Linked DNA regions of Coturnix japonica. The main gene of each other region encodes a partner of the protein of the gene in region 2 in a complex. Links are inferred from orthologs where the notes say so. Each region holds a gene or a part of one and is shown on either strand. Other genes may lie near its edges. The genes, in order: BRAT1, INTS9, INTS6, INTS12, INTS4, INTS7 and INTS11.

Evidence for each region.
Region 1: the proteins of INTS9 (region 2) and BRAT1 are in contact, whole or in part, in a cryo-EM structure (PDB 8UIB), measured with the Homo sapiens proteins. The link is inferred for Coturnix japonica from reciprocal best matches to the Homo sapiens genes INTS9 and BRAT1. Residues at the interface, in NP_060720.2 of Homo sapiens: Gly276, Met277, Gly279, Glu280, Cys282, Ser283, Asn284, Ala286, Leu287, Arg290, Asn291, Tyr315, Asp317, Ser318, Ala319, Gly320, Ser483, His484; in NP_689956.2 of Homo sapiens: Ala406, Pro407, Cys416, Pro460, Gln506, Lys507, Arg508, Cys510, His511, Pro512, Arg517, Glu545, Leu549, Gln552, Asp556, Pro557.
Region 3: INTS9 (region 2) and INTS6 share a complex: the UniProt entries of both Homo sapiens proteins name them as parts of the integrator complex. The link is inferred for Coturnix japonica from reciprocal best matches to the Homo sapiens genes INTS9 and INTS6.
Region 4: INTS9 (region 2) and INTS12 share a complex: the UniProt entries of both Homo sapiens proteins name them as parts of the integrator complex. The link is inferred for Coturnix japonica from reciprocal best matches to the Homo sapiens genes INTS9 and INTS12.
Region 5: the proteins of INTS9 (region 2) and INTS4 are in contact, whole or in part, in a cryo-EM structure (PDB 8RC4), measured with the Homo sapiens proteins. The link is inferred for Coturnix japonica from reciprocal best matches to the Homo sapiens genes INTS9 and INTS4. Residues at the interface, in NP_060720.2 of Homo sapiens: Lys2, Tyr4, Lys18, Ser21, Thr22, Leu43, Val44, Gln45, Glu87, Glu89, Leu90, Asp92, Asp97, Thr122, Glu145, Arg146, Val147, Pro148, Lys159, Glu174, Ser176, Thr177, Ser192, Gln195, Phe206, Gly207, Ile379, His380, Ser384, Asn385; in NP_291025.3 of Homo sapiens: Leu53, Gln54, Leu57, Gln58, Arg61, Lys62, Pro86, Ser87, Leu90, Lys91, Ser94, Gln125, Gln129, Asp132, His164, Gln207, Asp208, Pro209, Arg210, Arg212, Asp244, Tyr245, Glu246, Gln247, Trp296, Phe837, Gly840, Leu841, Val842, Val843.
Region 6: INTS9 (region 2) and INTS7 share a complex: the UniProt entries of both Homo sapiens proteins name them as parts of the integrator complex. The link is inferred for Coturnix japonica from reciprocal best matches to the Homo sapiens genes INTS9 and INTS7.
Region 7: the proteins of INTS9 (region 2) and INTS11 are in contact, whole or in part, in a cryo-EM structure (PDB 8RC4), measured with the Homo sapiens proteins. The link is inferred for Coturnix japonica from reciprocal best matches to the Homo sapiens genes INTS9 and INTS11. Residues at the interface, in NP_060720.2 of Homo sapiens: Glu127, Gly198, Tyr199, Ser200, Gln201, Lys202, Tyr231, Glu338, Phe339, Ile342, Phe343, Glu345, Gln352, Lys354, Val355, Tyr356, Leu357, Pro358, Glu359, Pro360, Pro361, Arg511, Arg512, Tyr513, Glu514, Lys515, Ile516, Glu517, Ile518, Met519; in NP_060341.2 of Homo sapiens: His94, Gln97, Ala98, His137, Leu138, His139, Gln140, Thr141, Lys274, His277, Tyr278, Lys280, Leu281, Phe282, Ile283, Pro284, Trp285, Arg291, Phe294, Ser449, Pro450, Ser451, Ile452, Pro453, Val454, Gly455, Ile456, Ser457, Leu458, Leu461.

The regions. Positions count from the first base shown.
Region 1 is NC_029529.1:3,415,861-3,418,725, reverse strand, and holds part of BRAT1 (BRCA1-associated ATM activator 1), read right to left. Parts: coding exon 2,857-2,865; intron 1,728-2,856; coding exon 1,636-1,727; intron 1,377-1,635; coding exon 1,258-1,376; intron 876-1,257; coding exon 689-875; intron 500-688; coding exon 426-499; intron 17-425; coding exon 1-16. UniProt on the Homo sapiens protein: Component of a multiprotein complex required for the assembly of the RNA endonuclease module of the integrator complex.
Region 2 is NC_029518.1:96,768,344-96,771,843, reverse strand, and holds part of INTS9 (integrator complex subunit 9), read left to right. Parts: intron 1-1,056; coding exon 1,057-1,181; intron 1,182-2,465; coding exon 2,466-2,633; intron 2,634-3,392; coding exon of another isoform or gene 3,393-3,500. UniProt on the Homo sapiens protein: Component of the integrator complex, a multiprotein complex that terminates RNA polymerase II (Pol II) transcription in the promoter-proximal region of genes.
Region 3 is NC_029516.1:152,154,715-152,158,214, reverse strand, and holds part of INTS6 (integrator complex subunit 6), read left to right. Parts: intron 1-2,657; coding exon 2,658-2,841; intron 2,842-3,500. UniProt on the Homo sapiens protein: Component of the integrator complex, a multiprotein complex that terminates RNA polymerase II (Pol II) transcription in the promoter-proximal region of genes.
Region 4 is NC_029519.1:34,243,709-34,247,880, forward strand, and holds the start of INTS12 (integrator complex subunit 12), read left to right. Parts: upstream 1-1,372; 5' UTR 1,373-1,457; coding exon 1,458-1,584; intron 1,585-2,881; exon of another isoform or gene 2,882-2,998; intron 2,999-3,995; exon of another isoform or gene 3,996-4,100; intron 4,101-4,172. UniProt on the Homo sapiens protein: Component of the integrator complex, a multiprotein complex that terminates RNA polymerase II (Pol II) transcription in the promoter-proximal region of genes.
Region 5 is NC_029516.1:172,682,346-172,685,845, forward strand, and holds part of INTS4 (integrator complex subunit 4), read left to right. Parts: intron 1-445; coding exon 446-552; intron 553-1,056; coding exon 1,057-1,242; intron 1,243-3,125; coding exon 3,126-3,176; intron 3,177-3,500. UniProt on the Homo sapiens protein: Component of the integrator complex, a multiprotein complex that terminates RNA polymerase II (Pol II) transcription in the promoter-proximal region of genes.
Region 6 is NC_029518.1:19,455,774-19,459,273, forward strand, and holds part of INTS7 (integrator complex subunit 7), read left to right. Parts: intron 1-274; coding exon 275-321; intron 322-479; coding exon 480-679; intron 680-1,627; coding exon 1,628-1,750; intron 1,751-2,169; coding exon 2,170-2,287; intron 2,288-3,211; coding exon 3,212-3,346; intron 3,347-3,500. UniProt on the Homo sapiens protein: Component of the integrator complex, a multiprotein complex that terminates RNA polymerase II (Pol II) transcription in the promoter-proximal region of genes.
Region 7 is NC_029536.1:1,973,238-1,977,223, forward strand, and holds the start of INTS11 (integrator complex subunit 11), read left to right. Parts: upstream 1-1,186; 5' UTR 1,187-1,276; coding exon 1,277-1,304; intron 1,305-1,385; coding exon 1,386-1,483; intron 1,484-1,959; coding exon 1,960-2,033; intron 2,034-2,204; coding exon 2,205-2,433; intron 2,434-2,536; coding exon 2,537-2,635; intron 2,636-2,733; coding exon 2,734-2,768; intron 2,769-3,379; coding exon 3,380-3,518; intron 3,519-3,646; coding exon 3,647-3,711; intron 3,712-3,986. Other genes in the region: CPTP (ceramide-1-phosphate transfer protein), read right to left, coding at 1-482, 1,023-1,144.

The DNA.
Region 1 (2,865 bases), on a different chromosome or scaffold from region 2:
ATGATTTCTTCAGAACCTGAAGAAATACAAAGCAGATGTACTTTACTGCAGGAGAAGGTGCTGCTGTCTTTATGCTAGATACATTTCTTTTTTGGACTCAAAATTACAGTGAAATTGTCAGAAGAAATTAGAGCGCAGTCGAGTTGATTATATTGGTTCTACAGTTAGACATGGTGGCTCCTGTATTTTCAAGAGCATTTGATTTATTGGTCAACTACTTGCTCACTGGCATTGTAGCTATTTCCTGCAAGTCACTCAAAAGAAGCCTTCTAGATATTCTAATACTATACATGCTAATACATGTATATTAGTATAGCATGCATAGTAATACATGCTAAGGAACAGCTGTTGTCAGACCATTTCTCAGAACTGTATCCCACTGGGCAAGCTAATAAATTTGGAGCCTTCTTTAGTTCTATACTCACAGTAGGAGAAGTATTTGGACTCTCCAGGTATGCCAGAAGGACGTCAAATAAACTTTCCACAACTGTGTCGCTGCCTGAAACATTTAAAAACAAAGCAAAACAAAAACTCGTGAACCAATATTAAGGAAAAGAGATTAATTCAGCTGTTCTAATATGGAATGAAAAGGCTTATCATACTGTTTTATAGAAGCAAGCAAAGCACGGTGCTCAAATACAGAATAGTCATTTCCAAAATTAAAATGTAAGTGCAAAGTTTAACTCACATTTCTGTTCAGAAAGTGCTGCAAGGGCATCCAGAGCTGACTTCTGTACTCGGAAGCAACCTACCAAGATTTGGCTAATCTTGCTTCCCAGAGGAGAAGCTGGAACCAGGAGGCCATTACAGAACTGTAATATTGTCAAGACAGAATGCAGCAAAGATGCATAGGGTAAACTCACGGGCAACAAAGCCTAATGGGAGGGAAAAAAACACGCTTTCATCAAATGTTTCAAGCATACAAACAGAGCAAGAGTTTCTGGTAGACACAGCAAAAGCTGCAATTTCTACTGTCTTTATGGTAACATAATGCTAGTAACTACAAACAAGTAATCTTCCTCTCATCCAATGAACTATTGCATAAATGGAAGGAGATGCTTTTCACTAATTGGGAAAGCAACTCAATTTATGTTTTTCACTGGATCAAGACTTGCAGTGGATATAATGTATGACAACTAAGCCTGTGAAGGTAGGTGTCAAACCAAGTATGGTCCCTCCTTACAAGATTTCATATTCCTTTGTTATCCTACTGGGAATATATCCTACTGGATTTTCTAACTAACAGAACTCACTCACCACAGAGAGAAGCTCCTCCAGATGAGCAAGTGTCTGACACAGAAGACTAGCACAAGATGACTTGGAGGACAGAAGGCTTTCAACAGCAGAGGGATCACTAACCGACTCATCCAGCAAACCTAGGGGATCAAAGGGAGAAGCTCAGGTTGTTAGCAATTACAAAGGACAGTGATCTCCAAACTTGGTTTTTAAGCTATTATTTTGAAGTGATGCAGTATGAAGATCCCTTAAGATGCAACTGTCAGAAGGATGCTGTGCTTTACCACAAACTTTGCTCCTGTGCTTGGCTTTTTCTGTCTTTCTCCAGTTTTGTCTGATCCAGGTACTTAAAACATTGGCAAACCGACTAGCCTCTAAACTTTTCTATTGCAATAGTACCTGCATATTCCAGAGGCTTGGAGGCTGCTCTCAAAATACAGTCCATTGGTTGAAGGAGAACAGTCAGTGCTTTAATCCTCACAACTTGTGGGCTTCAAGGAAGAAACAGCAATTACCAAAACAAGCAAACTTCAACTCTTCCCAAACATCTTTCCCCAAATGCTGAGCACACGAGTGATTTTTACACAGGCTTGTAAAAAAAAGCCAGCAATAGGATAGAAATGAAATTACTGTCACAAGTCAAGCGTTCTTCTGATTCTTCCTGGCTAACTGAAAGAGAGAAACGGTTCTGGAATTGATAAGCAGCCTCATTCAGCAGTGAAGAGTGAAAACCTGTGTAAGAAGAGAGTTTAGATAGACATTTACTGGAAAAAAAGAAAAAAAAAGGCAGTAAGACACACATGTTCATCAGTCTGAAAGTATCTATATGTGCTAGAATCATTTAACATGTGATGATGTCCCCATGCTTTTTCCACCATCTAAAGGGAGAAGATGCCAGTGGATTTCTCTGAGGTGCACATGATGAGGCAACATCTTAAACTGCAACAAGGCAGAGTCCAACTTGGATACACAGAAAATACTTCTTACAGTGAGACTGGTAAAGAACTACTAGAACTGGTTGCCTAGAGAAGCTGTGGAATCCCCATCCTTTGGGATACTTGAAACTGATCAGTGAAGGCCCTGAGCAACCCAATCCATCTCTTAATGGAGCCCTGCAATGCGTAAGAAGTCAAATTAGATCACTTATACTGCTTCCTTCTAAGTTAAGTTTTCCTACTGTTGACAGAGATGCACGATGTATGTATGATGCATACTCCTGCTGGACAGCAGTTAAAGTTACACACTTGTCAGTGTTTATGTGAAAGAGAAAACTCACCAAATACTTCTGTATTTGAAAGTCATAATATCCATCTTACTCAACCTTGGCCATAAAAAGTTAAAGGAGCTTTGTATTTCTGTCTGAGATAGCTGTCTGTAGGTAAAATGCTAAAGTATATGTGTGAACATGACACTGGCTCTTTTCAATTCTGCCTTTGAAACAATTATTCTAATAGCAGTGTCTGAAGTGTGTTAGTTATTTGCATGGTCCCACCAATCAGTCCACTGTATTAAGCAACATAGTGGAAAATGCTGTGTGGCAAATAAAACAACTCTCAGAAACACAACAGAGACATTGGGAGCATTTGCAGAGTGAATAAGTTTCATAGCAGTAACTCCTACCATTGGTGG
Region 2 (3,500 bases):
AAAATGTCCTCTGGTTTGATCCTATTTGACTACTGATCATTCTTCAACTAGCTACTCGCTCAGTATTCTAATTATTCATTGCTATTTATTGCCTCTTTTTGCATTACTGTTTCTGGGCTTTGATTCAATGGCACTGGCACATGTGCTTTTAACTAGCATGGCTTCTTGCCCAGTGTGAGTTTTGTTTCATGTTTGGCAATTCATGACTTTTGAAGCATCCAACAAGATATTCTTATACAAGTATCATTTTTTGTTAATATTTCTCACTTAGATATTCCCAGGCAGCTACACTGACACTTGCTTTAGACTCAGTTAAATTGCCCCCTTGACAGTTCCTAACGTGTGTATCATTAGCTGATATTATTTTCTGTTCTCACAAGATAACCACATCATGACCAATGACTGATACTTAGATGTATCAGATTTTTAGGCTAGCAATTAGCTTTACCAGTCCAATGAGCTCCAGCACGGAGTGTTGAATACCATGATGGAAGCTCTACTTCCATCAGTAAAATGTTAAGGTCGTTATTTTTTGCTGTCTGCATGACAAATTTGGTCAGCCCTTCTCTCATTGCCACCCTGCCCCAACCAGGCTACACAGAGCAGGGTGCCCAGCACCATGACCAGGGGCTTTGGAAGATCCCCAAGTGCACAGCCCCTCTGGTTCCTGTGCACTGTGCACCCTGCCACAGTGAAAAACAAGCTGACATTTGTGATACCAAAACCTGGACATCTTGCCTTCTTTTACAAGATCTGATTAAAAATAAGAGATAATGGTTTTGCCTTGATTAAATTTGTTATAAAAGTCATGCAGTAATGTGTTCAGATGAAATAGTATTGCTCTGTAGCTTGATTAAGGTAAGTCTAATTGAGGGGTTAATTTTCATCAGATTAACTGAAAATACCAGGTGGGGGAAGGAAGGAGGGAAAAGAAATCTATAGCAGAATTAACTTTACTATAAGATCGCTTGTCTAGACTGGAATGTGGAATGAGAGAGGAGCTGGACCACCTTTATTCTCAGTAGCATTCTGTATTTTCAACATTTCTCTTTTCAGAACCAGATTTCTCCTATCTGGATGCTCTGGCTCCTTATCAGCCCTTGGCCATGAAATGTGTTTACTGCCCCATTGACACAAGACTGAATTTTATTCAGGTGTCTAAATTGCTCAAAGAAGTCCAGGTAATGAATTCTTGTTGCCTTTTCTTGTGTTTCTTCACACATTTGTCTGAAATAAATAAGTTGATTGTGACTTATATTAAATAATGGCAAAATAAGATAACACACACATTCTTTCTCTGTAAGAGAGACACAGAATGACACTTTCCTGTTATTCTTTCCCCTGCTTGTTTAAATTAGTGTCTCTGTGTCTGATACAGTCTTAATGTAAGATGTACCAAGTGTAGATCATCCTCTGTGCCCTCAGCTTTAACCATCTCCCCCACGCCTGTAACTGAATCCTGCACTTGATCCTTGCCTTGATTCTGGCGTCACTGCTTTGGAGTCCCACTCACATATTACTTGCAAGTTGACAGCTTTCCTCGTTCCATTTGCACAGTCTTTCCTTTTTTGTCTAGGAAGAAAGGCTGAGCTTTCAGGCTTTTCTTTTTTTCTTTGTGGCTTCTCCTTATCCATCCTATTTATTTCTACTGAAATTTGGTTTCTGACTCGTGGCAGCATTAAATTAACACCCCATATTTTTTTCTGGCTGAGCTTTTCCCTTGGATTTGTCTTCAGCTCATCATATGCAGAAATGCATGTTCTTCCAAACCTCTTAACAATGTCTGGATCATCTTATCTGCTCATTCTGTGACCTGGCTTGTCACTGCACAACTGGTGGAAATTACATTGCCTGTTTTTCTTCCTCCATGTAACTACTGAAATATGCTGTTTCCAAAGCATCTGGCAGAAACTCTGTCATATCCTGTGGCTTCCTTAAATCCTGTGGCGATCCCCGTGGTAATCAGCTTGTTTATGCTTTGTTAATGCATTGCTGACAGGTCGTGAAAACTCAGAGTTGCCTATTTTGCTAATGTTTTTGCAGTCTTGTGTTTTGACACGTTTGCCTCAGTGCCATTTTGTGATGGTCTGCACCACTGCTGTATTTGCTTCCAATTTAGATGACAAGCGTTTGGATGAGAATGCTATTGAGCATTTTGATTTATTTCTCTCCTTATGGCAGCTAACATGACTGCTGATATTGATGTAGTGATTACAGATATAAATTTAGGCCTTGTTACTGTGGGCATCGTCTGTATACAAAGCAAATACTGCTTGTTCCTTGGACAGTCGGTTTCAATCCTGATTGAATCTTCTGGATTTCATCTTTTTGATGTTGTTTTCATACAGTTAAGTTAGCGTGCTAACGTCAATCCACAGACCTCCTTATGGCAACCATTACCAATGTAGGGCAGTGTGCAGAATCAACCAGGCATTTCTGTAAGTCATCATAGTCCTCTTTTCCAGCCTCTCCATGTAGTTTGCCCGGAGCAGTACACTCAGCCACCACCCTCCCAGTCTCACCGGACAGATTTGATGATAGACTGTCAGCCTCCACCAATGTCCTACCGCAGAGCTGAGGTCCTGACTCTTCCCTATAAGCGACGCTACGAGAAGATCGAAATCATGCCAGAAGTAAGTAACAAAAGGTGGGGAAAAGATGTGGCTTCTGCTCATACTTCGAGCAGCATTGCAGTAGCCAATTTGACTAGACATATCCTGCATCTGTGACTTGCTGTTGATTATGAACACACATCAGTTTTTGTCAAATAGAGTGTTAAGAAAGCATTTTTGAAGGGAATTTCATTCTGTAAATCAAGAATTGGAGAAAAGAGGAATGTGATGGGCAAGTAAAAGGTGTCTTCAGGTTAATTGTCCTCTGCAAGGACACATCATGTCCTTGCAGAAGAAAGAGTAATCTGCAGAAGAAAGAGTAATCTCTGCTGGCCAGCTGTGAAGAAAACCAGTCAGTGCCACCTTAAATGTGAATATGCAGAGGCACTGCAGTTTGAAATAGTAGTACAGAGCTATGGAAGGGATTGAGAGAGATTGGAAGTTATTAGCCAGGACTTGTCTCTCTCCTTCCCCAGCTGTACCTGCTATGAGAAATACCCTTTCCCTTCAGGAGCAGTATTCAGCGGAATGTTAAAGACACTGCAGTAAAACGGCTCATTTGTGTTAGAACAATTTCAATAAATGGTTAATTCCTATGGACTCCTGAAGTCCGACAGGTAATGAGTTGCTTGTAGCCATCTATAATGTGGACTGTTTATGGCTGCACCATTCATTAATAATTTATTAAGCCCATACATTTTATACAAATGTGCTCGTAATACAAAGAGTGATCCATATTCTAGCAGATATGATATTAAATATATTTTTTTAACAATGCAGTCAGCACAAAGGCGTCCTTGGATCAAAGCTGACAGTGGCATTTACCAAGAAGGTGTTACTGCCCTCTGGATATTGAATATACAAGCGTGCTTTTCATCAGAGAGCCAG
Region 3 (3,500 bases), on a different chromosome or scaffold from region 2:
ATTTTGTGGTTTTCTGTTTGAACTGCAAATGATTGCACAGAAAATGATGTGAAACCAATGCTGTCGTTTCTTAAGGATCTGAAGTAGTGATTCTGGGGGACTCTTATCAGCTGGGCTTGAACCCTGCTGTTCATCCTGCTGTCCTCTAGTGGTGAAATGCTGCATATGCTTGGAATGTTACAAATTACTTTTCATGGATACAAGAAAAAGCTTTAGGAAATAATAGAGTTGTTACAAATAAGGCTTGAGATAAAAACAAAGCTATCTCCCAGTACTGAGCTATGAGGTTATGAGGGCACTTGTGTGTCATTCAACATAGACAACGTTGAAGACCACTGTTGGTGAACAACTTATTTTTCACTTGTTCATTTTATCTTTCTCTCAATGACCAATATGAAAGATAAAACAAGAAAAGATGTGAAGTGCATGGGGAAAGAAAATGCAGGTTACAGGTTTCTAGACCCATCTTATTTTGTTAGGTATGCAGTTGTTGTGCTGCTACGGTAAATACTTGAGGGTTTTGTTTGTTTAAAAACAACAACAAAACCTATGAACAGTGCTGAGTGTGAGAAGACAGTTGTTAATGTTTGCAGAGTATGAGGTCTGGTTTGAATCTACAACTTCTCCAGTAACGTGAATGTTAAATTTAACTGAAATTAGACTGTAGGGAAGAGAGTGAGGACATGCGATTTAATACTGATGGCTTTGCATGTGGTCTTGGATTTTTATAAACATTTCTGGTAGTAATTTGTGCATGTTGCAGTGCTCTGCTGCTGAGACCTGCTTTGTTTTTTGGGTTTGTTCACTATAACCAGCTGAGCTGCATGAAGATTTTGTAGTTTGAGATGCACCGAACTCAGAATAGCACTGGGGCAGGGTCAGGTGGGAACCTTGTAATATGTGCTGCCTGGTGAGTTACAGTGCTGCTCTGAAGAGATGTTTTGCCAAGGAAATGTGCTGTCTAGAACCACTAAATCTTATTCATCTGTTGGCTGAGATCTGTGTTGGAAAGCTTGTCAGCTCTTAAGTAGCAGTCCCAATAGATGATATTATGGTACTTACAATTGAATCCTGTTACAGTTGGGATTGGAAACTATTTATGAAGAACTATTCTTTTAGCTTTAGGTTCCCTTTGTTGAGCAGGTGTTGGGTTACGTTTGCATAAAAAGGGGAAAGGCATGTATGAACCAGTAATGAACCACATATGTAGCCAAGTGCCCTTCGAGCAACTTCCCATAAAATATTAGGGGAAAATAGCGCTCTTCTGTCATGCTGTCTGCTTGTGAGCAAAAACAGATACAGGATAAATCATCAGGTGCTCTGAGAAGGCAATGTTCTGATTCCTGCTGACATGTTAAGTGGCTTTGTCCCATTTACCCAAGGGTACTGGTTAGGCTGTGGTTCTTCAAGGTCTTTTCCAACTTGGGTAATTCTATGATTCTATGATTTGTACCTGGCTCTGAGGTTGCATAAACAACAAGGCTACAATACTTGAATAAAACAAAGGTTTTATCTGTACTGATGGTGGTAATATCTACCAGGGATTAGTCTCATTTTTCTGAAACCTGTAATTACTTGTTATAAGCCTAGTCTATCTGTATAAGTTCTCTAGAATTGAACATTCTTTAAACTTTACGACTTCTTGCTCCACTTGTTTGTTCATAAAGCAACGGTATTCAAAAATATGTGTGTTACAAATGCTTTTTAAAGCATTGATTTCTTGTTTCAGTTAACTAGTTCTAAATGCGCAGGATTTTGAGATGTTCTGATGGTCTTTATGGCTGTTGCTTGTTAATTAATAATTTTGCTGTGTCAATAGTACGCTGTATTTAAAGTTGGGAACTTTTGAATCGCTACTGTTTCATCTGGTACCTAAAGCAAAGTGAAATATCCCCACGTGTTCTGTGTCTGTGGGTGATTTCTTTAATATTAGAAACTAAAAAACATTTAGTTTTTCCCAGATAGAGGCAATATAATTGCATGGCAGACAGTTCTTGTATTAGATAGCTGTAGCTACTGTTATTTATTATGTATAGGTAAGAATACAGTTTACATTTCAGTATTGATTTCAACCTGTTGTTTACTTAGAGCACAGAGAAGGTACGAGTATGATTGAGGGATATGCCCAACCTAGCTAAAATCAATCCTTTCTGATGCTGTAGCATAACCACCACATTGATTTACTTGAAGTTGTTATTTGGAGCAGATAGTCATGGTAGCTGGATTGTTTTGAGCAGCAATACCCAAGTTATGTTTCTTCTCTAGTAGGCTTAAATTAAAAATACCTTTTTATTTTGGTGTGCCTTTTAACTTGAAGAATCCACCAGGAGTTTGAGCTGACAATAAGCTTATTCTGCAGAAAATTAGTTCTTATAGGTAAAATTCTAGGGAAGGTATTTGATCGATTCTTAAGTTCATATTCAGAAGGTGGTGGTTCCCACTCAGTTTGTGGTTCTCAAGTTTGTGCCTCATGTTGTCCTTAAATTTCTTTGAAGTGCTGATTAAATTAAGTTTCACTTGTAAAGAAGCAAAAGAGAATCATAAATATCTGTGGAAAGATTCTGTGTGTGTTTATAAGTGGTTATAGATTTGCTATCACTACGTAACTTGATTTATTTCTTCTAAGTAGCTACTCACGGATTTAAATTCCTTTTCAGCTCCACTTACCTCTCAATTCCCCTCTGCCTGGAAGCGAGTTGACCAAGGAACCCTTTCGATGGGATCAGAGGCTGTTTGCTTTAGTTCTTCGTTTGCCTGGTGTTTCATCACCAGAATCAGAGCAGATGGCAGGTGTACCAGTGGATGACTCTGCAATCACACCAATGTGTGAAGTCACAGGAGGTAGGTGCCCTTGACTTCCTTTGACAAATCAATGATTTTGAAAATGAACTGAATATGGATTTGTTAATCAGGTATGTGGGGTGGACTAAGTATTCGTGAACTCTTACTGAAAACTCAGAACTTGATTATAATAAATTTAATGACCCTGCATTAATGCTTCACGTGTAACTTATCTTGGAAGAATTCAATTATATTTCCTTTAGCAGTTTATTGGCAGAACTCTTTAATTTTTTTTTCTAATCCATCTCAGTTTCACAATGAGAAATTGTAGCAGTTGAGTCTGTGGTGTAGTTATGACAAATAACTAAAGTTATGGAAAGTTATGGTCTCTTCTCCCAGGCAACAAATGGGACCTGCGGAAATGGCCACAAGTTGTACCAGAGGAGGTTTAGATTAGACATAAGGAAAAATTTTTTCTCTCTGAGAGTGGTCAGGCACTGGAATGGCTGCCCAGGGAGGTGGTGGAGTTGCCATCCCTGGCAGTGTTCAAGAGGTGTCTGGATAGGGGAGGTAGGAGATATGGTTTAATGGCTTGTGGTAGCAATGGTAATGGGAGGATGGTTGGATGATCTTGTAGGTCCTTTCCAACCTTGTGATTCTGTAATCCTATGAAACTTCTGTCGTGTTTTAATCAAAGCAAACCAAAAGTATGGGAAATG
Region 4 (4,172 bases), on a different chromosome or scaffold from region 2:
TCCTGTCATATTACTGTGTTTCTTTTTCTAACTTAGAAGATGAGCTGCCTCCAGAAAGAAATGCCAGGATTTTTTTTGCCCCTGTTTAGTCCTGAGCATATACCATGGGGATTTTATCACTTATTCTATTCCCAGACTCACAGCTGGACTCGCAAACATTTTATCAGCCTGATTTGTTTTTCCTTCCACTTTGCCAGATCAGTCCTAGGTATAAATGACAATAGCCACCCTCTTCTTCCATCTATCCATTCCTTAAAGCCCCATTTAACTTGCTGCTTTTTCTCCAGCTACACAATATACTTTTTTTTTTTTTCCACATAAGATATTTCAGATGGCCAAAAAGTAGCAATTAAGTTAACTTTGTTCACAGCTATGTAATTTCAAAAGCCAAATGGCAACCTGAATAAGTCAAGTCTAGACTTGGTTTCACCACAACCGCAGAGCTCGCAACACATGGAGTAAACACATAAGAAATACTAATCTCTTACTAGACATCACAAACCTCTTTGTCACAAAAAGATCATTCACTGACTACTCCAAACACTTATCTAGGAAATTGTCTTCTCCATTCTCAGACAGACAGTGAACAAATGACACACCACCTGCTTCTGAAATCCAGTCAGTGCAGCAAGATTTGGCTCAACTGTATTAATATTAGCCTCCCACAGGACATAAAGCAAAATAAAGCTATCTGGGACCAGTCTATAGATGACTTGTGTTTCCTTAAATTATTTCTTGTGAGAATATACTCATGGCCTTCTCTCACTTCAGAGAGCTGTACTCTCACACTGCCACATCACACTCCTCTTCCATATTTTGCTTTAAAAATTTCCTCCTGACAGCTTGTTTCCTTCCACAGAGATATTCAAGACCTGTCTGGACACCAATCTGTGCAGTTTATTGTAGGGAACCTACTTAGCAGAGGGTTGGACTTGATGGTCTCTTGAGGTCTCCTCCAAACGCTGCTGTTCTGTGATAATAAAGAATGGAACTAACAAAAACATTGTGCACCCATTTAATCACAACACCTTTCCTGGCACTCGTCCTTCTCTGCTTAGCCTGCATTCTGTGAGGGTTTCTATCCTACACTGGCCTTATTAATAGTAACCACTGCTAAAAGAAGGGAAGGGAGAAATCAGCTGAACATAAATAATGAACACCACAGGTTTTGCAACATCACTTAAAGATAAATAACACGGTTTGCCTTCGGTGTGAGCCCGTGTGAGGAAGCAGCACCGAGGGGCGAACCCCCAAGGCCGCCGATCCCGCGCTCTCCCTCACACACCTCCCGCCCCGCCCACCGCCGCGCGGGCCGATAAACAGCGCCCGGTCTCCACCAGCGCTGATCGATCGAGATCCATTTCTCCCTCCCTCGGTCGCTCCTCACCACTTACCCGACCCCGCGCACGATACGTCCCGGCCGCTTCCTCCCCGGCTCCGCCTCTTACCGTGTGCCCATGCGCGTCCCGCCCGGCTCCGCCCCAGCCGCGCAGCGCTCCGCCCTCCCGCCCGCGGAGCGAGCCGGAACGGGGGCTGTGTACCGGCTGAGGGCTCTGAGCGGCGGGTATTACCGTCTCTCCTCAGGTGAGAGCGTGGCGGGAGCTTCGGGGGGTGTCGCGGTGTCGTCCCCGGCCCTGAGGGTGGGCGTTGTGGGCGCCTGTGTGTCCTCCCACGGCGGAGCTGGAAGCGGCCGTACCCGCTGTCTGAGTGGGGCCGGCGGGTGGCCCCGGTGTGAGTTAATATGTGGTACAACGGGAACAGGGCTCAGTTAAACAGGCAGCTGTGGTGTGAGGAGGAGGTGGGCTGGGGGTGAGGTGAGGGGGAGGAAAGATAAAAGGATAATAGTTACAACTATAAGTACGTATATAAGACTGTGTGTGTATATATATATGTATGTAAAAAAACAAGCAATGCACAAACAAATTGCTCACCACGTACCAATCGATGCTGTGCTAGTTTCCAAGCAGCAGCAGCAAGCCTGAAGAACTCCCACCTTTTTCAAACTTGCCTGCTGTGGAATATCCATTTGGGTCATTTGAGGTCGGCTGTTCTGGTTCTGTCCCCTTCCAGCTCCCTCTAAAGCTAAAACATAGCATCATATCAGGTACTGTGAAGGAAAATAACTGTTTCCACTGATTCTAAGACAATTAGTTTCCCTCAGAGCTCATCAGTGAGCCCTCTGTTTCTGCAACAAGGAGAAGATGCAGAAGAGGGCTGAAGCATGGGTTGATTGCCTGGTAATCCATTGACCTGGATGGACTGTGTTCTGGTGTACCATTGTGAAGCCCCTTGCTTTTGTCTATGAGAAGTCATGAGGCTGGGAGAAATCACTGGGGGCTAGAAAAAGGCAGACTACATGTCTTACATATCCCTCCTCAAAAGAGGCAGGAAGGACTATCCAGGGAAGTGCAGACTGGTTAGCCTCCCTCCTTGCATCCATGGGAAGGTTATGAAGGGAGCCAGCACAGCATGGGCAGGAGCACGTGTTGACTGGGGATAACCAGCTTGGGAATCTACCAAGGGTCAGTCATGTCTGGTCAACTGGATTATCCTTTATGGCAAAATAACTAGCTCTGAAGTTGAGGGGAGGAGTGGAGAATATCATCTGAGGAGGGTCTTGCTGTGTCCTAAATAGACGCCTTTCTGTATCTAACAGGAGATTATTGATAAAATGAAGCCTGTATTTCCTTTTATGTGAAAGCACAATCTGAAAAGGGAGGATCCAATTTGGAATAAAGAAGTGAAAGGAGACAGTGAGATCCCTGTCTGTGTATGTTTTGAAGGTCCATCTGGATGGTGTCCTCGGAAATCTTGTCTGAATTCATAGCTGATTTTTTTCTTTTTGCTTTGAGCAGGAGGTCTCTTAGAAACAAAATGCCAGTGTATTGTGGTGTAATGCAGCAGGCAGCTCAGCACCACGTAGCCACTTGTTTGCTCTCTGCATGTTGGATGGGGGAGAAAATAAGAAACTTAGAAGTATGAGAACTTCTCTTTTATGGTTAGTATGGTTTACTCGGTAAAGCAAAATCTGCATGTGCAAACAACAAGAAATTCCTTTGCTACTTCCCATTGGCAGGCAGATCACAGAATCACAGAATGGCCTGGGTTGGAAGGGACCTCAAGGATCATGTAGTTCCAACCCCCCTGCCTGGCAGGGCCACCAAACATACACATTTACTAGATCAGGTTGTCCAGGGCCATCCAACCTGGCCTTGAACACCTGCAGGGACAGGGGCATCCACAGCCTTCCTGGGCAGCAGATGTTCAGTCACTTCCAGGAAAGCAGAGGTCATCACACATAACAGTTTCTTGGGAAGGCAAACTCCATCTCTCAGAATGTCATCTGCTCTTCCTCTTCTTGTCTCCCAGTTTTCATTGCTGAGCAGGATACCATATGGTACGAGCCATCCCTCTGGCTGGTCTGGGCCAGCAGTCCTGGTTCTGTCCCCTCACAGCTCCCTGTACTCCTCCAGCCCCCTCCAGGCAGGGCAGCATCAGGAGCTGAGATGTCCTCAGCTCTGCACAGCACTGCTCATCAACAGCTAAAGCATCACTTGTCAGTACTATTTCCATTTTGAAAATAATCAAAAACACAGGACGTGGTGAGTCACCGTGAAGAAAATTAACTATATCCCAGCCAAAACCATGGTATTCTGGTTGTTGGATACTATGTTGTTTATGAGTGATAGAAAGCAGAAAATAGAAGGTGATAGGGTAATGTAGAAATGTTAGATAAGCAAGTTACTGTGATAGATTGAATTATTGATTGGAAATTATGGTATAAAATATGTTGTAGGATAGAATATAAAGTTATGGATAGTCACGTTAGTAATTATAATGGAAGAATTTACTCAGGTCTCCTGGAATTCTTTGAATTTCACATCAAGTTGTCACATAAATAAGAACTGATGAATACAGTTGTTCTGATTAATACAGTTGTCGGGACTGCTAAAGTGCCTGAGTTTTGAAATATTCCTCACAGGCGATAACTGTGAAATTGTTGTCATGAATCAAATCCTCAGTATGATACGAAAGTAAAAACTGAAAATAGAAGCTTTTCCTGCTTTCCTTGATCTGTTTCATCAAGACCTGCATTAAATGTGAGTCATCTGGAATGGGCAGTATTGGTAAATACTTGAAATCTTCCACTGTCACAGTTGTTAGGGAATGGA
Region 5 (3,500 bases), on a different chromosome or scaffold from region 2:
AGCAGCTCATCAGGGCCTTCATTTAAGTACATTTTTCTGTGTTATATTCACTGCTTGTATGTGCTTGATGAAGTTTAGTTTTATTTTAGTATCATTTAGTGTCAGGTGAATGTAAGGTTAAGTTGTTGAGTGTGCAGTGAAAGCTCTCAACAGGGGCTTGAGGAAAATGGTTATTCCATTTAGTCAATGCTAGAGAGCCCACACCTGGAATACTGTCTCAAGTTTTCACTCCCCAGTGCCAGAGAAATGCTGATAAGGTTGGCTGAGTTAAGCAGAGGGCCACCAAGGTGGCTGTAGTATGTTATCTGCAAGGAGAAGCCAGGGGAGCTGGGCTTCTTCTGACTTCTGAAGGAGAAGGCTCTAGGAGGACCTTCCAACCGGAGTGATGCTGTGGTTCTGGAGCTTAGCAAAGAAGTGCATAACCTTTCCCTGCTTTGTTTTGCAGAATCTCACCAAGTCCTTGCTCAGCTGTTGGATACGCTGCTGGTGATTGGCACAAAGCTCACAGAGAACCCATCTGTCAGGATGAGGCTGGTAGAGGTAGCTTGCAAGGTAAGGCTGCCTCCCTGAGGATGTAAATACTGCTGAAGGGCAAAGCTCTGCTCTTGCGTGCTGCATTTGGATTCAGTCTGTTTTGGGGGAGAGCTCAATGTACTAAATTTTAAGCAAGACCAACTTAAAACCAAATGTGATGTGAGCACAGCTCTGAATGCAGCTAACAAGTCTGCAAACAACACTGGATTCACTGCTCTTTCAGTTACTGCCTCTTGCTTCATATGCTTTTGGATACATGTCTGCTTTTTTGTAGCTGTTATTTAGAAACACTATTCCCTGTTAAGAAGTTACTGATGGAAAGCATTAATGTTAAGCAAAAGTATTTATAATCTGTTCAAATACTCATCTCTGCCAGAGGAAAGAATATGTTATCAATATTCCTTAATGTTTTTTTTTTTTACTAAAATATAAACATTTTGTAACTGCTGGGAATTTTACTCTGATCAGCTGTTTACAGAGACAAAAGAGCATTTAAAATAAATCTATTTTTGTGTCCCGTAGCATCTGACAGATTCTTCCCATGGTGTAAGAAATAAGTGTCTTCAGTTAATTGGCTGCCTTGGACCAGTGGAAAAAGGTGTTGCGAAAGAAGCTGAAAGCCAGGCTGCCAAAGATGTCCAGAAGATAATAGGAGATCATTTTAACGACCAGGATCCTCGTGTTAGGACAGCAGCTATAAAAGCCATGGTAAGGAGTGCTGGTGTGGTGGAAGAAATTGTCTGGGGGGGATTGATAAGAAAGCTGGTAAGGATCTGCAAATGAATCCAGAGAGGTTTGGACAGGAGTTATTTAATTAACTCACCAAGTGCCAGTTTAACGTATCAAAATTACCTGGAAAAATGAGATATGTTATGAAATAGAAGAACTTTATGAAATCTCAGAGGGTATTTTAGTGGTTCACAATGATATATTAGGGGTAGTATCGTTAGGTTGCGGTTGGGCTTTGACGATCCTGATGGTCTTTTCCAACCAGAGCAATTCAGTGGTTCCATGAGACCTGCTTCTGCTGTAGGGGAAGAAGCTTTTTCATTTGGGATATCGTGGTATTGTTATAGGTAAAGCTCTTTCTTTTAGTGAGAAGTCTGTATTTCCTGATTCAGGATTGGCTGCCACAATAATAAGCCCCTATTACTCCAGCATGTAATAGAACACTGCTTGTGACAGGAAACCTTGTGAGTTTAAACCTGAAAACTTGTGGTTTTTTTTAAAACAATGTTTTGGTTACTGATTTTCATGTGGGATTGAGCAAATTCAGAACTCTTTTAGCTTTGCAGCAGTAAAAGCATAGACTGTGCAGTGAGAACTTTGCTCAGTGGGGATTCCTGTGACTGTGTGGGTTTGCAGCACTTCCTTTGCTAACCCTTAAGGTTTATAGTGTTACTCTATCTTAACCTGATGGTGAACAGAGGGAGGTTGTGATGAGGAGGGTTTCGCCTCTTCTCCCAAGCAACAAACAGGACCCGAGGAAATGGCTGCAAGTTGTGCCAGAGGATATTTAGAAACATAAGGAGAAACTTCTCTCAGAGAGTGGTCAGGCACTGAAATGGCTGCCCAGGGAGGTGGTGGAGTTGCCATCCCTGGCAGTGTTCAAGAGGTGTCTGGATGAGGAGCTATGAGATCTGGTTTAATGGCTTGTGATAGCAACGGTAATGGGAGGATGGTTGGACTCGATGATCTTGTGGGTCCTTTCCAACCTTGTGATTCTATGAAAGACATTTGAATTAATACTGTTAAACTGTGAAGAAGGAAACAAGATGCATTTGGGAGGATCAGACTGCATGTGGATCTGCCTGGGCTCTCCGTCTGCTGAAGGTTACTCTCATCCTTCATTTTCGTTCTATTTTCTTTCTTTTTTTCATAGGACTTTTTACACCTTGCCATGACTTCTGCAATACTATTGAATCAAATCCATATCAAGATTGATGCCCTTCAATTTAATAGTTTCAGTACAGTGTCAGTTGTTTTGCTTTAGTCTGGAGCTTGGAAGCATCCTGAATGAATTCAGGGTCCCTGATTGTTCCTAGGGTTCTTAATCGCAGTTTTCCTTGCTACTATGTCACATGTTGTGTTAGGATACACTGTTTAGTAGGGCAGGTTTTGCTGTTCCTCTGGCCTTTAAAATGCACTGTCACTGCTGCTTTTGGGTCACTAATGACACAAGAGAAGAGGCCAACCCCCAGCTCACTACAACCTCCCTTCAGGAAGTTATAGAGAGCTATAAGGTCTCCCTGAGCCTCCTCTTCTCCAGGCTGAACAATCCCAGCTCCTTCAGCCTCTCCTCATAAGGCCTGTGTTCCAGACCCCTCACCAGCTTTGTTGCCCTCCTCTGAACCAGGGTCTCAATGTCTTTCTTGCAGTGAGGGGCCCAAAACTGGACACAGTAGTTGAGGTGCGGCCGCACCAGTGCTGAGTACAGGGATTGAGAAACAGCTGAATTACAGTAACAGTTGGTTAATGCAAGCAATTAATTTTATGCAAAGCAGTGATGAAAACTTAGTGTGTGTTATTTAAAACCATAGTTTGATTTCATTGTCGTTCCTTTCTTATGTTGTTCTTGTTTTCGCCCTTAGCTTCAGCTTCACGAGAGAGGACTGAAACTGCAGCAGGCCATTTATGGTCAGGTAAAACCTCATCTTTGTTTCTATTTATTTTGTATTGGTTTGCGTGCTTTGCTTTTCAGGATTCTGGGGCATTGTGCTTCTAGAGGTGGAAGTCGCTGAACAGAGGGAGGGCATTGCATAATTCTTATTGTCATCTTGCATTTTCAGAGTTAAATCCTTGTACATTGGAGGGTATATGTGATATGTGAGAGGGAATGGACATAAGTTGTGCCAGGGGAGGCTCAGGTTGTGTATTAGGAGGTATCTTTTCTCTGACAGAGTATTCAGGCACTGGCACAGCTGGCCAGGGAGGTGGTGGAGTCACCACCCCTGGAGATATTCAAG
Region 6 (3,500 bases), about 77 Mb from region 2:
GTGGTAGAACATCCTTCACAGCTGTTATATGTCATGATAATAAGTGTAAGGAAGTCTGAATTCGAGTCTAAAAAAACCTATGAAACTTATTTGAAAGCTTCCATTTTATTATTTGATTATGCACCTGTGTAGGGATTCTAAAATAACTAAGTTTTGGCAAGCATTCTTGTGGTGGTTTTTATTATTAAAATTCATTGTTTGGTTCTTCTGTTGATTTTTTTTTTTTAGCCTGTTTGCTTTCATTTCACTTGGTGCTTTGTCTTTTTCTCTACAGGGACTTTGCTGCAGGAATATGTAACAAAATCAGTGAGATGATTCAAGGTATGTACAAATACTGAGTGATGATATCCAGGGCTTCTTTTTTATACATAAGTATATAAAATACCTCTATACCATTGCCCTTACCCCAAATAATGTGTGTCTTAGTACCAGAAAAAGCCAGTACAATAGCCTGACAGTGTCTCTGTTCCCTGTTACAGGTTTAGCCACACCTGTGGACTTGAAATTGAAGTTGATCCCTATTCTACAGCACATGCATCATGATGCTAGCCTGGCCTCCAGCTCCCGGCAGCTGCTTCAGCAGTTGGTAACATCATATCCTTCCACCAAGATGGTCATTGTTACTCTGCACACGTTCACTCTGCTTGCTGCTTCTTCTTTGGTTGACATTCCTAAACAGGTAATTCTTCTTTCAAATGAATCTACAAAGCATGTTTAAAACAAAACAGGGATTATTGAGGATAAACTGTGATCTTTATCTTGAAAGACTGAGTCTATTGCTACAGCTTATGTTTTTAAACCAAGTCGTGAGAAAGCATTGATGAGCAAAATATAATGCTTTTATGTTTAGATAATGGGCTTTGTGATTATGATTCATATAGCAAGTATGAATGCACAGTGACATTTGAGGTTCAACTAATTATAGTAAAGTCATAAAAATCTATTGACCTTTTAATCCATACATTTGTGGCAGGCTGGTGTCTATTTGACTTACTGCATTGATTTGTTTAAAACTTCTTGGGATGGCTGACTTTCAGGAATAGTACTGAATTTGAGCTAGCTGAGACAACATTCAAGCACTTCACATGCTCTTTATGAAAGTAAGCATGGGCTTACAGGCTGTATTTCTGCAACACAGCCGCCTATGTTGTACATATAAATCAGATAGCCAGGGTGTGTGGATTTCTTATTATTTTTTTCTGAGACAGAGTGTATATCTGTGCTGCTCTCTGTTGACTGCAGATCATGCAGAAATGCCTGAAATACTTGCTACTAGTGTAATCGTGACAATGCAAAGTGTTGTCTGAGGTCCTTGGGAATGTTTTTACCAGTGTTTCTATGAGAGCAGGAATAGCACTTAGGGCTTCTCGGGGCATGTGGGGAGGTGGCAGAGAGGTGTGCTTGAAGAGACAGGAGTGAAGGATGGCAGAAAGCAGCTGTTAGATTGATTCCACTTGCCAAGGAACTGCAGTGCAGTCTTTGCCATGTGGGAAGCAAGCAGGCAGGAAACACATGGCAGTTTCATATGAGTATTTTCAAAATTCCTTCATGAATATTCTTGAATATTTATATAATATCTTTATAGTACAATCTCGTCCCCTTAAATGATGAATTTATCTTGTTACAGGTCCAGCTTTTGTTGCAGTACTTGAAGAATGACCCCAGAAAGGCTGTGAAGAGGCTTGCAATCCAAGATTTAAAGCTGTTGGCTAACAAGATGCCACATACATGGAGTAGAGAAAATATTCAGGTTAATACATTTTTAGGCAAAAGTTTGTTATGAAGCTTTGCAATTAGTTGTGGAATTCCTTCCAAGAGAACAATTTGTGAGGGAAGGAAGCAAGAATATGTGCCTCTGTGTGTCCTTAAATTAGGCATAATCTACCAAGCAAAGTAGCCAAATATAAATGAACAATTGAAGTAATGTAACTGAGGAAAAGCATGTGCTGTTGGCTTTAGAACCTGGTGCTACTGATACTTAGAGCAGTTTGTTAGGATACGTGCAAGATGTTTTCTAGATGCTTGCCAGATGAGCAAGTTCTGGTTTGATTTCAGTTTTGCCTGTTTTGGTCATAGGCCCTTCCTTCTTACAAACAGGTGCAACTAGACCTTTAATACAGATAGTTCATGGAACTTCCTTCCATTTGTATCTTCTCCCTTCTCTTGTAGGCACTGTGTGAATCTGCTCTTCACACACCGTATGACAGTTTGAAGCTGGGGATGCTGTCAGTTCTTTCCACATTATCAGGGACCATTGCCATTAAACAGTACTTCAGCAGTGCTCCAGGTAAGAAAACCAGATTAGATGATAATTCTGGGCATTTTTGGTAATTAGCTGTTTACTCCAGAATAGTTTATAGTAAACATTGTTGCATATTCTGAAAGTATTACTGAACTTCAGGGTGCTAGTTGAGGGTCAAACTGTGTTTATTGTATCTGAACTTGAAATGAGAGAGCATGCACCAATGAACAGTCACTGGTTAAGATTCTGTTACAGATCTTGTGGCTAATAAGCTCTGTGAAAGTTTTGTTTACCTTTGGATTTTCAACTTCTTGACATAAACTAAAGAAACAGTTTGCCTTTTTAAATGGTCAGCCTGTGTTCTGCTTAAGGCACTTTGAGACCACGCATTTGTGTAGTGTTTTAGTTTGAATGAAGGGAGCAGTGAAGCATAGAGGCTTTGTAGTTGAGAAGAAGCAGGCATTCTGAAATGATTAAAGGTATCTCATTCTGAAAATGGAAATGATACTGTCTGTTATGTCTTCTTGAAAGGCACTATGTCTTAATGAGTATAATGAGCCCAACAACACTGGCTGCAGAAAAGAGGAGAAACAGTGTGTTTTCATCAGTTATTCTGGCATGTCTTAATATGCTTGATAGTTCTTTTTTTTTTTTTCAGTCATTAAAATCTTTGGGATAAGTCTAAAGATCTCAAAGTTCCTGAAACATGCAGGTCTAAAGGTTGATACTCTTTTCTTTTCTTAGATGTCTAAGTTGCATTTAGGAAAGAGGAGAGAGTCTCAGTGTTAGCAGGTGTGTAGGAATATATGTTAAAATGGTAGGATAAAAACATATGAAGTAAAATAAGTAATTTTAAGAAACTGAGCACCACAAATCAATATAGCTTTAGTACGGGAATATACTTGAAAATTTCATAGTCTAATTAAACTTTGTGCTGTTATATGTCTGGTTTACCTTGTCTTTGTTTAGGAACAGCGACTACAACTGCAAGATCATTTGATTTAGTAAAATTAGCACAGGAGTGCTGTTACCATAATAACCGTGGCATTGCAGCTCATGGTGTGAGAATTCTGACAAATATATCAGCGTCTTGTCAGGAAAAAGGTAAATGAGAGCAAGGACAATGAAATAAGTTTATTTGCAGTCAGGCTTATGCACTTAACATACATTGACTGGTCTTGTCCATGAAGTTTTCTGTGATTCTGGTCCTTCATGCTGGTTATGGGGACTATATAATCTCTGCAAATGTTTTGTGGAA
Region 7 (3,986 bases), on a different chromosome or scaffold from region 2:
CAGTGATGCCGTACACATCTCGGATATGGGGCAGAGCATCACCCAGCATCTCCACAGCCTCCTCGGGGCCGCCTACATTCATCACCTCTAGGAAGGCATCGCGGGATGGCAGGGTACAAAAGGCCAAGGTAGCGGCCTTACGGACGATCCAGGGATGGTAAGCGGCCAACGAGGCGTTGTAGCTGTCCGTGCAGATGGTGGAAGTGCTGGCGTCCTGCTGGGCGGTGCGAAGCCCTTCGAGGAAGAGCTGCAACCAATGCAATGCCCGGTGCAGCCGTAGGACGGTCCTACAGCCTGAATTGGGGTGGGCTGAGCGCTGTTCCAAGTCGACCAGCCCTCCGTTGAGCTCATAGCGCACCATAGATTGCATTGTACGGTATTCCTCCTTCTTCTCCCCGCCGCAATAACTCTCCATAATCTGGATTTTAGTCACCGCGTCCTTAGAGATGAACGAGAAGATGGCGCCCAGCCCGTTGAGGAAGCTGAAAAGGGGATAAACGGAGCGGTATAACACAAAGCAGCATCCTCGAGGGGCAACCTCCCCTCCCATCACAGAATCACAGAATTGTAGGGGTTGGAAGGGACCTCTAGAGATCATCGAGTCCAACCCCCCTGCTAAAGCAGGTTCCCTACAGCAGGTCACACAGGAAAGTGTCCAGGCAGATCTTGAATATCTCCAGAGAAGGAGACTCCACCACCTCTCTGTGCAGCCTGTTCCAGTGCTCCGTCACCCTCACCGTAAAGAAGTTCTTATTAAGGAACTTCTATGCTGTATTTCATCCCATTACCCCTAGTCCTATCCCTACACACTACTAAAAAGAGACCAGCCTCACCACTATGTCCCCCACCCCTCAGGTATTTATAAACCTGGATCTAATCCCCTCTCAGCCTTCTTTTCTCAAGGCTAAACAGACCCAGTTCCCAAAGTCTCTCCTCACAGGGGAGATCTTAGCCATCTTAGTGGCTCCTCTTTCCAAGAGATCCCTGTCTTTTTTTTGTACTGGGGAGCCCAGAAAACTCACCGTACGAGCCCCCTCCATCCGCGGAGATACGGGCCGAGCAGCACCTCGCGCTGCTCCGTCACGCAGCTCTGGAAGGCGGCCATCACCTCCCTCAGGCTGAACGCTCCCTGCGCCGCCGCCATCTTGTCGGCGGGAGGCGCCTCCCATGCGCTAAAGGGAAGGGCGGGATCTACCTCAGAGTGACGAGCCGTTGCAATATGGCCGTTAAAGGAACGGCTGCTCCCTTCCGAGCTTTGAGTTGAAAGAGGTTTAAAATGCCTGAAATCAAGGTGACACCGCTCGGTAAGTGGTGGATCGGAGCGTTGTGGAGCCTCAGAAAGGGGCTGGGTCGCCTCACTATGGTGTTCTATTGGGTTCCTGTAGGTGCCGGGCAGGATGTGGGGCGAAGCTGTATCCTGGTGTCCATCGCGGGGAAGAATGTGATGCTGGACTGTGGGATGCATATGGGATACAACGATGATGTGAGTGTGACACACGGTTGGGTTGTTCTCTCATAGAATCCCCAGCTGTTCCTGCACCTCTCTCTCTATGGAGAACTTCCCCTTAGCATCCGATATAAAGCTTCCCTCCTCAAGCTTAAAGCCATTCCTCCTGCCTTATCGCTATCTACCCAAGCAAAAAGTTGATTCTTCTCCTTTTTATAATCCCCTTTTAAACGTTGAAGGCCTCTCCTTGCATCTTTCTCTAGGCTGAACAAGCCCTGCTCCCTCAGCCTGTCTTTATAGGGCAGCTCATCCTTTTGACTCTTTATGTAGGTGTCCATTGCGTTGCCTGTAGTTCTTGCTGTGTTGCTCCCACAGTCTCCCCAGTTTTGCCTTGAGATGGGTTTACAGTGTCCAGTGTAGCAGGTGGTTCGTGCTGCTGGTCCATATAGTTAATGACATGGTACTAAGTAGCTTTGTTTGAGGTTGTTAACCCGTTTTCCACCTCTTTGCAGAGACGCTTTCCTGACTTTTCCTACATTACTCAGAATGGGAGGCTGACTGACTTTCTAGACTGTGTGATCATCAGGTAAGAAAGCTTCCTTCCTGATCACAACAGAGATGGGAAATCAAAGCAAGTTTTGTTTCTAAAGGGAAAAGTTCTATTTTGTGGAGTGCTTTGAAGAGGTGAATCAAGCTGTGAGAACCAGGTTATCTAAGCTGCTGTGTAATGTCTTCATCCTTTCTGTCTCTTTCGCAGCCACTTCCATCTGGACCATTGTGGAGCCCTCCCCTATTTCAGTGAGATGGTCGGCTACGATGGGCCCATTTATATGACGCATCCTACCAAGGCCATCTGTCCCATCCTCCTGGAGGACTACAGGAAAATAACTGTAGATAAAAAAGGAGAAACAAACTTCTTCACGTCCCAAATGATTAAAGACTGTATGAAAAAGGTGGTGGCTGTGCATCTTCACCAGACAGTTCAGGTAAATGAATGCTTCTGCTTGGATGGGAGCTACTGAACTGTTGAGGAAGGCAGAGCAGTTTTCTGTTTGTGAAGTGCTTACCATGGTGTTTGCTTGTGTTCAGGTGGATGAAGAGCTGGAGATCAAGGCATACTATGCAGGCCACGTGCTGGGAGCAGCCATGTTCCAAATCAAGGTTGGATGTGAGTCAGTTGTGTACACTGTAAGTATGCACAGCAGTAGTTACATATGCTTATGTTTCCTTCTAATAGCCTGTTCCATTAGCTTGAGAAAATAAACGGATTTCCCTTCCTCCCTTAGGGTGATTATAACATGACACCAGACAGACATTTAGGGTAAGTAGGAAGGCTGGGCTCCTCTGAATTGTATCTATTTCAAGCAGGGTGATTTTACCACAGCTTCTGCTCATATACCAAGGCTTACCAGCATTGGTTCTTTGTTCTTTGATGGGAGACTGGGATGCTTAATGATGTCTTTCCAGCAAAGATAAATGCAAGTGTGAATTTTGAGGAGGATCAGAGGTAAATCGAGTCCTCAGAACAGACCTTAACATAATCTTCTCTGTACTCATATTAATCCATTTGTATGGCTGCGTGGTAATTGGATTTAGGTGTTTGAAATGCTTCATTGTTGTGGTATCTTCCACAAGCATTTGCTTTTTAAGAGAGTGCCAGTCACCACCTTTAACGCTGCTTTACTTTTTTACTGGCATATATGAGAGGTTTTTAATGTTTGTGATGCTTACAAAGCATTGAAGAAAGTATTTTAAACAAATAACAGACTGAAAAGCTGCTTTTCAAAGTCCACTGAGTTGGTCTCTATTCTGAGCTGGGTTAATTCCTACCTCCACACAGAGATAGTGACCTTCTGCAGCCGAGACCTGCAGAGAAGTGATGGATACTGGCTCTTAATTTGATGACTTTAAAAAGAAATCCTTTTGTTTCAGTGCTGCCTGGATTGATAAGTGTCGCCCCGATTTATTAATAACAGAATCTACCTATGCCACAACTATCAGAGACTCCAAACGCTGCAGAGAAAGAGACTTCCTGAAGAAAGTGCATGAGACTGTAGAACGAGGAGGGAAGGTACGGCACTCTGATGATCACTGATGTGTTCTTTGCTCTCTACGAAGCTCTTATTCAGCAGTGGTAATGCTGCAGTGCTCTCTATGTGCTGTTCAGGTTTCACAGCCTAAATCATGGCTCTGTTGCAGGTTCTTATCCCAGTTTTTGCCCTTGGTCGTGCCCAGGAGCTTTGCATTTTATTGGAAACGTTCTGGTGAGTGCAGTCTCTGGTTCATGTTCCTCATCCTCTTCATGTCCTCAAGGTTTCTATGATTCTTTTCTATCTGTTTGGTACAAATACTCTCCTTAGTTTTGCTCTGCACTTTGGCCCATGGTGCTATGTGAGAAGTGATTCTTTCCATGTATCGTTTATTTATCAGCGTTTCTAAATCTAAGAAACTAAACTAAACATGTTCCTTTCTAGGATCATTCTCTCCTCCTTCCCCAAGCACTCAGTACCAGCTGTCCATTAAATAGTTCAATGGCATC